Xenopus tropicalis: one gene and its partners. The main gene of each other region encodes a partner of the protein of the gene in region 3 in a complex. Links are inferred from orthologs where the notes say so. Each region holds a gene or a part of one and is shown on either strand. Other genes may lie near its edges. The genes, in order: fbxl13, ccdc153 and efcab2.

Region 1 (3,656 bases), on a different chromosome or scaffold from region 3:
AATTCAGATCACAGCACTATAAATAAATGACACTTATACAGAGCTAGCAATAAACATTTCTTAAGGTACTTTGTAATTCATCAAGCTTGTCAAGCAGTACAATACTTACTTAAAATACAGCTTCTGCAGATTGTTGATATAAAATGAGTAAGCTTTCTTGAGTAATTCTGAAGACACCTGCAATATAAAATATAGGAAAATTAAGAAATGGAAATCTTCCAGTTTATATGCTTTAAATGCTTGATTGCTATATAAATTTGAGACACAAAACTAAAATGTGACTGCACCCTCTAGTGAAAATAAAGAGAAGTTGAAACTAAGATGTAAGACATACAGGGCCGCCTGTTACTTACCAGTTGATCTTCATCTCTTCCAAAAAGATATTCTAGATAGCTTCCTGTCATTGCCTTAAATTTAGGTTTTTTTGCTTCTTCTATAAATGCATCCCTGTTGGATAATTAATGACATTGAATGCTTAATCTGGCAAAATAAATTACTAAAACCAGTTCTTGAGATCTTAAAAACTGTGACACACGAGATTTGTCGCCCCGTAAATAATTTCCTCTATTGGTGGTGACTAATCTCTTCTAATGCTTTCATATTGGCAATAATGTAAATTGGCGGTAGAAAATACATATGTTTTGCCTCAGATTTCCAAAGTTGCCTGAAGTTTCCTTGCGAAAGCCAAAACAACGCATATGTTTTCCTACTGGCAATTTATGTTCTTCTTGGTAGGAGAGCTTGTCAGGTAAATTAGGAGAGCTTATTGCATGTTCTGAAAATTATGATATAATTGGTATCACTGAGACCTGGTGGGATGAAATTTGTGACTGGGCTGTGAATTTAAATGGTTACACCCTATTTATGAAGGATATAGGGATTAGAGATGGTAGAGGAGTTTGTCTGTATGTAAAACCAGAATTAAAGCCTTGCGCTAAAACATTTACCAGGAACAGCAGTGGGGAGGGTGTTAAATCCCTTTGGGTAGATTTTTCAGCAGGGCTTAAGGTTACAAAGAAACTTATCATTGGTGTATGGTTTAAACCTCTCCGTATAAATGAGGAGAATGAAGCCCAGCTGCTATAATAAATTTAGGAGGACTCACAACTAGTCAAGTTGTTATTATGGGCGACTTTAATTATCCAGAGATTGACTGAAGTAATGGGGTGGCCAAGCAGAAAAAGTTAGCAGGTTTGTAAACATGCTAAATTACAACTTTTTATTTAAGGCAGTTCAAGAACCTACTAGAAAATATTCTCTTTTGGACCTGGTAATAACTAATAAAGCAGAACTTATCTCTAGCATTTATGTGGGTAAGCATTTAGAGAAAAGTGGTCATAACATGGTCTCCTTCGAGATTATGTTGCAAAGACAGCTCTATAAGGGAGTGACTAAAATTTTAGATGTGCAATATTTCTCAGTATAAGGGTATATCTGCAACATATTAACTGGGAAAGGATTTTCACAGGGTTAAACACAGAAGGAAAATTATATATCTTAAAAATGTTGTGTAAGTATATATGTCATTATCATCCCCTTGTAAGCAAGGAGAGACATTGCAAAGCAAAACCTTTATGGGTTGATAAAAGTGTTAGTGTCAAGGTTGGTAAGAAAAAATGTTCAAAATTCAAGTTAGCTGCACTTTCATCAAGCACAAGGAAGCCAATAAAGCATGTAAAAAAACAAGCAATGAGATGGGAATGGTTATTGCAGCAGGAGTAAAATGAATCCAGAATTATTTTTTAAATAAGTAAATAGTAAAATAAATGAAGCAAGAAAAGGTGGGACCCTTGTTATCACAGGGGAGTCAGTCGGTTGATGAGAACAGGGGAAAAAGCAAAAATTCTGAACTCTTATTTTCTTTAAAGGACAAGGAAAGGCAAAGTCACTTGGGGGTGCCAAAATGTTAGGCACCCCCAAGTGACTTTAATCGTTTACCTTGTACCCCGGGCTGGTGCTCCTGTTAGGAGAAAACAGCACCAGCCCGGGGTACCTGGAGCGATGCGCTTCCTCCTCCCTTCCGACTTCTCTGTTAAAGTTCGGCTTTTCACTGTACTGCGCATGCACGCGCTCGCGAACCAGGAAGAAGGAAGCGCTGCAACTACCCCGGGCTGGTGCTGTTCTCTCCCAACAGGGGCACCAGCCCGGGGTAAAAGATAGGCGATTAAAGTCACTTGGGGGTGCCTAACATTTTGGTACCCCCAAGTTACTTTGCCTTTCCATGTCCTTTAACCCTTTTACTGCCAGCCATTTTGGTCAAAGCGGAACTTGTATTGCCAGACAGTTTTTGAACATTTTGCACTGTTTCACTTTAGGGGCCTTTCCTCGGGGGGACTTTTAGTTTACCCAGGAAAACAATATATCGTTTTTTTCAGAACAACCTAAGCTTTCAAAATATGGTAGAATTTTTGTGTAATTCCAATTCTGTAACAAGATATAGGCTTCTAAATGTCTAAAAATGCAAAAAAAAATCAAATTTTCCATAATATAATCACACATACTAGAAACAAAAATTATTTTATGCACGAATATACAACTGATTTGGAAAGTCCCATGTCTCCTGAACGTGCCAATACCAAATATATATAGTTTTATGGAGATTTCTCACTTGTATAGGTCAAAAACTCCCAGCAGTACACTACCAAATTTCCAAAGCACTACTCCAGAAAGCTGCATACTTTAGATTTCAAGGCCAAAAATTCCACTAACAGAAGGTTTATCCCAGAAAATTGTACATTTTTGGAAAGAACAGATTCTGGGGAATACAGAATAGGCACAATGCTTTCCTAAAGTTATTGGTTTTTATCAGAATTTGTGATTTTTTTAAAAAATCGCTTCAAAGCTTCCAGTCTATAGTATCTTATCTCCTACAGGTCATAAAGTAACCAAATAAAACACCCTAAATATGAACGCCAGGGGTCCACTGAACAGTTTGATGCCCAATATGTATAGGTTTACTTAAGTATGTGGCATGTAGGGGCCCCAATGTGAACATACCCCATATGTACTGTCATTTCTGTCATTTCAGCTCCTGCAAAATCAACACATTTACATCATTATATGTGGGATAAAGCTAGTAAAAAGTACGCTCACCCCAGAAAGTCATATATTTTTGGAAAGTACACATTCCCCCGAATCTAAAATGGGTAACCATGTCTTTCTACTCCAAAGTACCAAGCCGCACAGCTTTTCTAAAGTTAGCAATTTTGATGACATTTCCAAAAATCCCCTCAAAGCTTCCACTTTGCAGCATCTTATCTCCCACATAGCATTAGTTACCAAGATAAAACACCCTGAATTTGAACACCAGGGGTCCACTGAACAGTTTGATGCCCAATATGTATAGGTTTACCTAAGTATGTGGCATGTAGGGGCCCCAATGGGAACATACCCCCATATGTACTGTCATTTCTGTCATTTCAGCTCCTGCAAAATCAACACATTTACATCATTATATGTGGGATAAAGCTAGTAAAAAGTACGCTCACCCCAGAAAGTCATATATTTTTGGAAAGTACACATTCCCCCGAATCTATAATGGGTAAACATTTCTTCTTGCTTCAAAGCACCAAGCTGTAAAGCTTTCCTAAGTTTGCAGATTTATATGACATTTCGAAAATCTCATAAAAATGTTGCAATTTGCCGCATTTATCTCT
Region 2 (3,756 bases), on a different chromosome or scaffold from region 3:
AAGCAGTCTTATACTGAAGGTTCTGTAAAATTCATTGTAAGGTTGAAGACACTCAGAGCGCCTAGTATCAGCTACTTGACATGGCTACAGGAATAACCAATACTGATCATTTACTGATAATTGTCTCTAAGGGACACATTTACTAATCCACAAATCCGAATCCCGAATGGGAAAAAATCGAATTGGAAATGAAAATCTTGCAACTTTTTCATCGCCATCGCGTTTTTTTTTCGTATTTTGCGTGATTTTTTCGTCGCCGTCACGGCTATCATATTTTGTGCGACTTTTTAGTCGCCATCGCGGTTTTTTTGTATTGAGCAATACGTATTGAACCAATCCGATTTTTTCGCGACGGCGACGAAATAGTCACGACAATTTGTGAAAAAGTTGTGACGGCGACGAAAAAGTCTTGACAATTCGCAGAAAATACCGATCATTACGGAAAAACGCATTCGGACGTTCGTGGATTAGTAAATGTGCCCCTAAGTGTGGTTTAGCAGAGGCAATTCTCAGTATTGTCTTTGGCAGGGTATTTTCTGGGGTTTAGTAGCCGTCACAAGTAGCTGCTACTAAATAGCTCCACGTGTCTTTACCCAGAGAGGATCTAAACCCAAAAACATTTAGCATAATTTAAGAAGATTTAATTTAAAGCAATTTTACATTATACATTACATTTCAAATGTTCAGCGGTCTTAGGGCTCTGGCACATGGGGAGATTAGTCGCCCTAATCTCCCCGTGTGCCAGAACCCTTAAAGTTATTTGTAAATGTCATTGCTACTGAAAATGATATTTCTACTATAAATACCTTATACACACATAATGGAAAGCTGGGAGTGTAGGATAGCATAGAGATGTTTTTTATTTCATTATACAAAAAACATTTTACGGGTATAGATTACCTTTAAGTTCAGACTCTGAATCTTTAATATGTTTTGTTTTGTTCTTTTTATTAAGGTGATTTGCATTAACAAATTTCTTGTTTTTGTCTCTTCTCAGAGATTTACCGGTACCTTGTTGTTATACATCTTTTGTTACCATTACAGAAACCTAGCAACCTTTTGTATACAATTCTCTCTGAATCGGCTGGGCAAGGTTTGTGGGCAGGATCTTAAAGTGTCTTCCTGCTGGGTAAGCATTTCTCAGTGAATATCACTTTGTTGTTCTGCTGAACAGGATTCATTGCAGGTAAGGGCCACTTGCTGATATTTGCTGTTTAAAATACAGTATGTTATAGAGTTGCGTATTTGGAAAGGCAGCATGTGGAAAAGGAAGATGGCATCGTTATCATGGGCAGCCCCTGCAGTTGCTATGTCTCCACTATCCTCAGGCTCTTCAGTGTTGCTCTAGGCCTGACTGGATACCTGCATCTAATGAGAGACAGAATCAGAAAATAATCAGTTTGCAACGAAAGGTAATCAGATATAGGATATCTTATGATAAGCATACAGAGCAGGGTTGAATGGCTCCTAACTATGCAATGCTGCAAAACTACTTTGCAATGGATTGAAATGTAAGAGGTCATTTACAACCTTAAGTTCAGCGTGCAGTTTTTGATGCAAATCACCATGTTTTTTAATTCAAACTTAATTGTGGGCACACAGCAACTTGCACATGCTGTGTCAAAACAAACAGAATTGAGCAGTGCAGCTAACATTTTTTAAGAGTTAGGATTGCATCACTTCCGAGAGTCAGCATTAAAATTACGTTAGTGTTTAGTTCTTTTGTCACAATTCTATTGCACTTTGGTTCATCACAATAAGCAGGATGAGGAATGACACAGTGGTGCTTGGCGCAACTATACAGAAGTTGAGGAGGTGTTACTTTTAGGACTTCTTTACATGTTACATCAACACACAAAACTAATTTCTAGGGATGCACCAAATCCAGGATTCAGTTAGGGATTCAGCCAAGATTCGGCCAAATCCACACTCCTGGCTGAACCGAATCCAAATGTTTTCTAATATAAACCTGCCGTGGTAAATCACAAGCTGAAGAGCATGCTGTTCTTTGAGTGCCAACTATTATACTGGCATATACATTTTTGTTCCTAGAGCATTGCACTTTTGTTCATAAATGAGCACTAGATTGGTGTCCAAACTATTTTTATTAATACAATGCAACATTTTTCACTGTCTGATTTTTACTATAATATTGCTTAACACACACACACACATATATATAGTGAATAATGTACCCTCTTTTTTAAAATATAAGGATAGCCATTCCACAGAGGAGTTTCGTGACCATGAGTTCTTATATCCTCTTATTTTACAACAGTGGATACATTTAGTTATTATAAATACACAAGTTTCAGTGAGCCATGTGTCAGAAATTACATCATTAAGCATCGTTATAACTGATGCCATCACTAAGCATAATTTTTAAGGATATAATTATATGATATTCATGGCACTTCTGTGTTATACATATAGGGGCTGATTTACTAAGACACGATTTCGAATCCAAATTGGAAAAATTCCGATTGGAAATGAACATTTTTTTTGCGACTTTTTCGGTAATTTTGTGATTTTTTCGTATTTTTTTCGATTTTTTCAGCGTCTTTACGATTTTTGCGTAAAAACGCGAGTTTTTCGTAGCCATTACGAAAGTTGCGCAAAGTCGCGCCTTTTTCGTAGCGTTAAAACTTAAAAGGCGCGACGTTTCGCGCAAGTTTTAACGCTACGAAAAAATCGCGACTTTGTGCAACTTTCGTAATGGCTAAGAAAAACTCGCGTTTTTACGAAAAAATCGTAAAATACGAAAAAATCGCAAAATTACCGATCATTACGAAAAAAACGCAATCGGACGCATTCGGCCCGTTCGTGGGTTAGTAAATGTGCCCCATAGTATATATAAACACAAACATATATATATATAGTGTACTTATGTCTTGCACAAAAAAATCAATTATAATTATTATAGTCCAGTGAAATTCTTTGCATTTAAGTATTGTTGTGCTGTAGGGTTGCCACCAGCCCTGTATTTCAAGGATTCAGATTCAGTTAAAAACCGGGTACAAATCCTCTAAACTGCATCCAGTGGACACAAGTTTCCATGGGTCCTTTTGCCATAAGGCAAGGTGAGAAGTCTCTCCTTTTCCAGGGGTGGCAAAAAATACTCCTGTAATTTTACATGGAGAATTCCCAATAGCTTTCTCCATTTACATGCAACTGCAATCTCCGCTGACCAATACCCAGTCTGAGAGAAGAAAATGTATGTACAGGTGATGGAAACATAAGGGGTTGGAAGCATCAGATCTGCCTTCTTGGACAGCAAAGAGCCTTGATGTGCACCCGCAGATTTCCCAGTGTGTGGAGCTCAAGGCAATATTCTCCAATATTCTGTGTGATCTGTTGTACTAATTTACTGGACAGTTTGTAAACATTAATCTAGTCATCTAAATTATAAATGATTTAGCAATAATATGGAACAAGTAGCACATCTGTCATCATCTTGAATTATATTTAGTACCATGGCCTTAAGCTATTTCAGTTAATTTTGTTAAGGTGGTCATACATGTTAAGATTTGTTTGCTATTTATATAGTCTTCATTCATAGGTGTATAGTTATGTTAGGTGGGGTCCTTCCCTACTAGTCTCACTAGTGTTCCTGTGCTAAGGGTAAGAGAACATGGTTTTACAATAAAATAAGGCAGTGAAGAACTCACATATAATGAGGGGCCTTAGTGTGACAAGTAAACTTAAATATTTTGGGGGATGTGTGGTGCTAATTTTTCAATATTAATTTAATATTTT
Region 3 (3,756 bases):
ACCAAGTCTGCAAGCCAGTTAGTGTAAGACCTAAGATCTAAGGGTAAGGCCTAGATCTTCCTCAGTTAAGTGACAATTTATTTCCTGGATACTCATGGCTGATACAGCAGTGTCTTCATATATCTGTACATATATAGGTGTCATTACATATAGCAAGAAATGTAAGAATTCATAAGCTGGGCTTTTAATTACAGTTTACATCTTCATAACATAGACATCAAAGTACCTTCAGCATGTTTTTTAACGTGACCCTGACAACTGATATTAGTAGTACGCACTATAAACTGACTATATTCTGTGTTAACCAGTTTCCAGTGCCATCGCTGTTAGCTCTAGGCCCATATCATACAAACCATTTTGCTACACAGGGGACATGCTGATTTAGCTGCCCCATGTGTAATCCGCCTGTTACTGCACACTAGCCAGATTTTGCCAGAGAACGTTTATTATGATTATAATAGTTATGCATTTTAGCTGAACTCTGCACGTATGTGGAATGACCAAGCTTTTTAAACAAGATGCTTCTGGCATAGGAAGCAAGATTTGTCTTGCTTTAAATGTACAATATAATAATTGAATTTCATACTGGTGACCTTGCAGCCTACCCCTGAAGCTGACAGAGTGGAATGCTGGAACTACTGACCCAGCAGAGTTGTCTTCACTTCAGCCTTTACTACTTTGATAACTTCTCTTAGTATTAATTATATAACATGTAACATATGTAATATCCCTCATACGTAATAAAAGTTACAAGTATGCCAGGGTGAAGAAAGCCATATTTTGCGTTAAAAAAAAGTGACCAGCAAATGCTACTTGCTGATTGGTTGCATTAGGTAACAAGTCATGTACAGAATTTTGCACCTTTTATAACACAATCCTCAGAGTTTTTACTGACGCACCACGTCTTTATTAGTGAGTGCTGTTTACATATCTTCAACCGGTCTATCCCTTAACCAAGCGCCTCCTGTCCCTTTCCCCAAGTCCCTTCTTACTATTACGTACATTTAAGACTTTCCGCTCAGACATTGTTACTCTTCACTCCTCTGTAGCTGTATTTTCCAAATGGCGCAGATCAATGACGTCACGCTCCAGCCGCTCGCAGGAACAAGCAGCTAGGAAGTGTTTTATATTCACGCACGTCATCTCAGCGCCACCAGGTGGTCAAATGACTTGGGTTGTGCAGTCACCTAGCAACCAGATACAAAAATGACTGATGAGAAGGAGGCCGCTGGTAAGTTAATGCTCCATAACAAAATGTAAAAAACAGATAAAAATAGCGAGACGAGGAGAGGGAAGGAGAAGGGGAAATTAACAGAGACTTGGTCTGAACCCTGTTAGAAAATCAATAGAAACGAGTAAAGTACATTCTACAAATAATCGCCTGTTCATCTTTATGGGTGACTAAAATACTGGGTGCATTTTAGATAGAGTATCAATTAACCTATTGGTACAATTTGGAATAGAATTTTAGTATTGATATACTGCAGGCAGCAGAATGTGCTATAATCCTAGGCAGGGCTGCCATCAGAACTCACAGGCCCCATACAACACAATTAGCAGGATCTGTTGTCCAGCCAGTGGGCATCTAAGCTTTTGTTCGATCAGTACATCAGACCTAGTGAAGTGAAGGGGGGGAATCAAAGGCAAGGGATTATATTTATGTTAAACAAAAAAAAAACCTGTATGGATTTTTTTAATAAATTTATATTAAAAAATATTGTCTTTTTCATAAAGAACCTGGCACCATAAGGGCTCTTAGATTTTTCACTTTACTTCCCCTTAAAAAATGTACTGCAATTCCCATTCTCTGATAACGTAAGGGGGCCGTGCAGGTGTAGGTATGTAGGTGTGTACCTAAGGATATCCTAAAATTGTACTGATCACACCAGTCACATCCCTGTTACTAGGATTGGCTTCTGTGCAAGATAGTTATAATCAAAACTTTGGAATTTAGCACCCATTACTATTATACCTCATCTCAATACTGTTGGCTAAAAACAAACCCTGAAATGTAAGCAAGAGACAATGAGCTACTATAAGTTGCTGTAATGAAGTAAGTTATTCTGATCAGTGCAAGATATAGGAAAACTGTAAAAGTAATAAATGCAAAAAAAAGCACCAAATTACATTTTTAATGTGTGTTAAAAAAGCTAGTAGCTTATGTTCTGTTTTCTATCCATTATAGTCAGTGCCAAAGCCAATTAATCCATTTCCTTAATTCAAGCGTTTAGGTTATGGTGTGAACAGACATACTGTATATGAGCAACAGAGAATACCACCGTACAGGGCAGCCTTGAGGGCAAATAGTTGTCCTGGTGTTTTTTATGGTCATAGGAGCGCAGGCCACGCTGCACTTGGATTACCAGGGCCCCCTGCAGTCAGTGACCAGCAGCCTTCAGAACACAGGACTAGCGCTCCAGTGCCAGCTTCTTATTATCTCATACAGCTTTCTGTAAGCTCATTTGCCAATAAAGTTTAAGTCCCGGAAAAGGTGCATGGTGATTGAATGGGCTGGAAGGGACCCATCCAATCCCCATGCAGAATTACCAGGATTTAGAGTTCTGTGGTAAATGAGCAGTAAAGGAGATACAGGCACCCAGGTTCCTGTCCTTTGCTACCCGATTCTGCAGCTCTCACAGCAGCACGGCCGGGCCCCCCTTAAACCTCAAAACCCACCGGGCCCAGGACTGTCCTCCCTGGCGGCGGCCCTGGTTCTAAGGCTGTTTCAGCGCAATCTGAGAATAGGCAATGCACCACCATTCTCTTTCTGAACCTGTGTGTGCACTGACAGGCATGTGACATATAAATATATGTATTTTCATGCCAAAATCTTTGTGTGTGCTAAAGAGGTGATCCGTTGCACTTGAAGTGGTGACAGATGGTTCTCCACACAGATGGAGCTCAAATAGTCATATTAGTAATGGAAACAGTGTATAACTGTAAAGCATGTCACTATGCCTGCTAATCCATTAATGCATCTAATTATTTTCTTACACATATTTTTTCAGAATCTCTAGTGACAGATTTACAGAAAAAAATTACAGAAGCCTTTGAGGTTTTTGACCATGAATGTAACAAAACTGTTGATGTCAGGTAAACATAACATTTTCCCTGTAGTTTTTTTTTGTAGAATGCTGGGTAAACAGGAGAAAGACAGCTGTACAAGCTTTCAGTTCCTAAAGCTGCCATTTTTATTATTTAATGCAATCTCAAAAGTGTGTGTGCTTTGGTAATCATTTTCTTTGTATTGTGTAAAAAAAAACAACACACTAAACAAGCAAAACCTTACTTTGTCAAGAGTTCTCATTAAAAAAAGTATACAATATGCACATTATTTATTTTATTTATTATTTTTTAAAGCTATTAGACTAATTAAGATTTTTTTTACATTAACAGGATATAAAAGCTAACCCTAACCCTGTTTTATTTTAAAGTTTCATGCATTAACTGTGCTACTTTTGTAACAGAGAGATTGGAACAATCATAAGGTCTTTAGAATGTTGCCCAACAGAAGGCGAACTCCATGATATGATTGCAGAGGTAAGGTTTTAAAAACAAGTTAAAGAGTACAGAACTATATGCACTTATTGTGCCCATATCAATAAAAACTGAAAAATTGCAGCTGTAAAAGTAAAAATATTTTTATATTTATTCTGACCTATTATTGCCTAAGAAGAGATAAAACCTTTGTATGTCTTATCTTGCTGTGTAAAATAACTCCCACGTTTAAGATGTAGCTGAGAAAGTTTTTGCCTG

Evidence for each region.
Region 1: efcab2 (region 3) and fbxl13 share a complex: the UniProt entries of both Homo sapiens proteins name them as parts of the nexin-dynein regulatory complex. The link is inferred for Xenopus tropicalis from reciprocal best matches to the Homo sapiens genes DRC8 and FBXL13.
Region 2: efcab2 (region 3) and ccdc153 share a complex: the UniProt entries of both Homo sapiens proteins name them as parts of the nexin-dynein regulatory complex. The link is inferred for Xenopus tropicalis from reciprocal best matches to the Homo sapiens genes DRC8 and DRC12.

What each region holds. Positions count from the first base shown.
Region 1 is NC_030679.2:77,930,399-77,934,054, reverse strand, and holds part of fbxl13 (dynein regulatory complex subunit 6), read right to left. Parts: intron 448-3,656; coding exon 354-447; intron 178-353; coding exon 110-177; intron 1-109. UniProt on the Homo sapiens protein: Substrate-recognition component of the SCF (SKP1-CUL1-F-box protein)-type E3 ubiquitin ligase complex.
Region 2 is NC_030683.2:80,326,697-80,330,452, forward strand, and holds the start of ccdc153 (coiled-coil domain-containing protein 153), read left to right. Parts: upstream 1-997; 5' UTR 998-1,186; intron 1,187-1,236; exon of another isoform or gene 1,237-1,412; intron 1,413-3,756. UniProt on the Homo sapiens protein: Component of the nexin-dynein regulatory complex (N-DRC), a key regulator of ciliary/flagellar motility which maintains the alignment and integrity of the distal axoneme and regulates microtubule sliding in motile axonemes.
Region 3 is NC_030681.2:51,986,915-51,990,670, reverse strand, and holds the start of efcab2 (dynein regulatory complex protein 8), read left to right. Parts: upstream 1-1,148; 5' UTR 1,149-1,206; coding exon 1,207-1,231; intron 1,232-3,008; coding exon 3,009-3,093; intron 3,094-3,467; coding exon 3,468-3,540; intron 3,541-3,756. Other genes in the region: splicing factor YJU2, read right to left, coding at 1,003-1,026. UniProt on the Homo sapiens protein: Component of the nexin-dynein regulatory complex (N-DRC), a key regulator of ciliary/flagellar motility which maintains the alignment and integrity of the distal axoneme and regulates microtubule sliding in motile axonemes.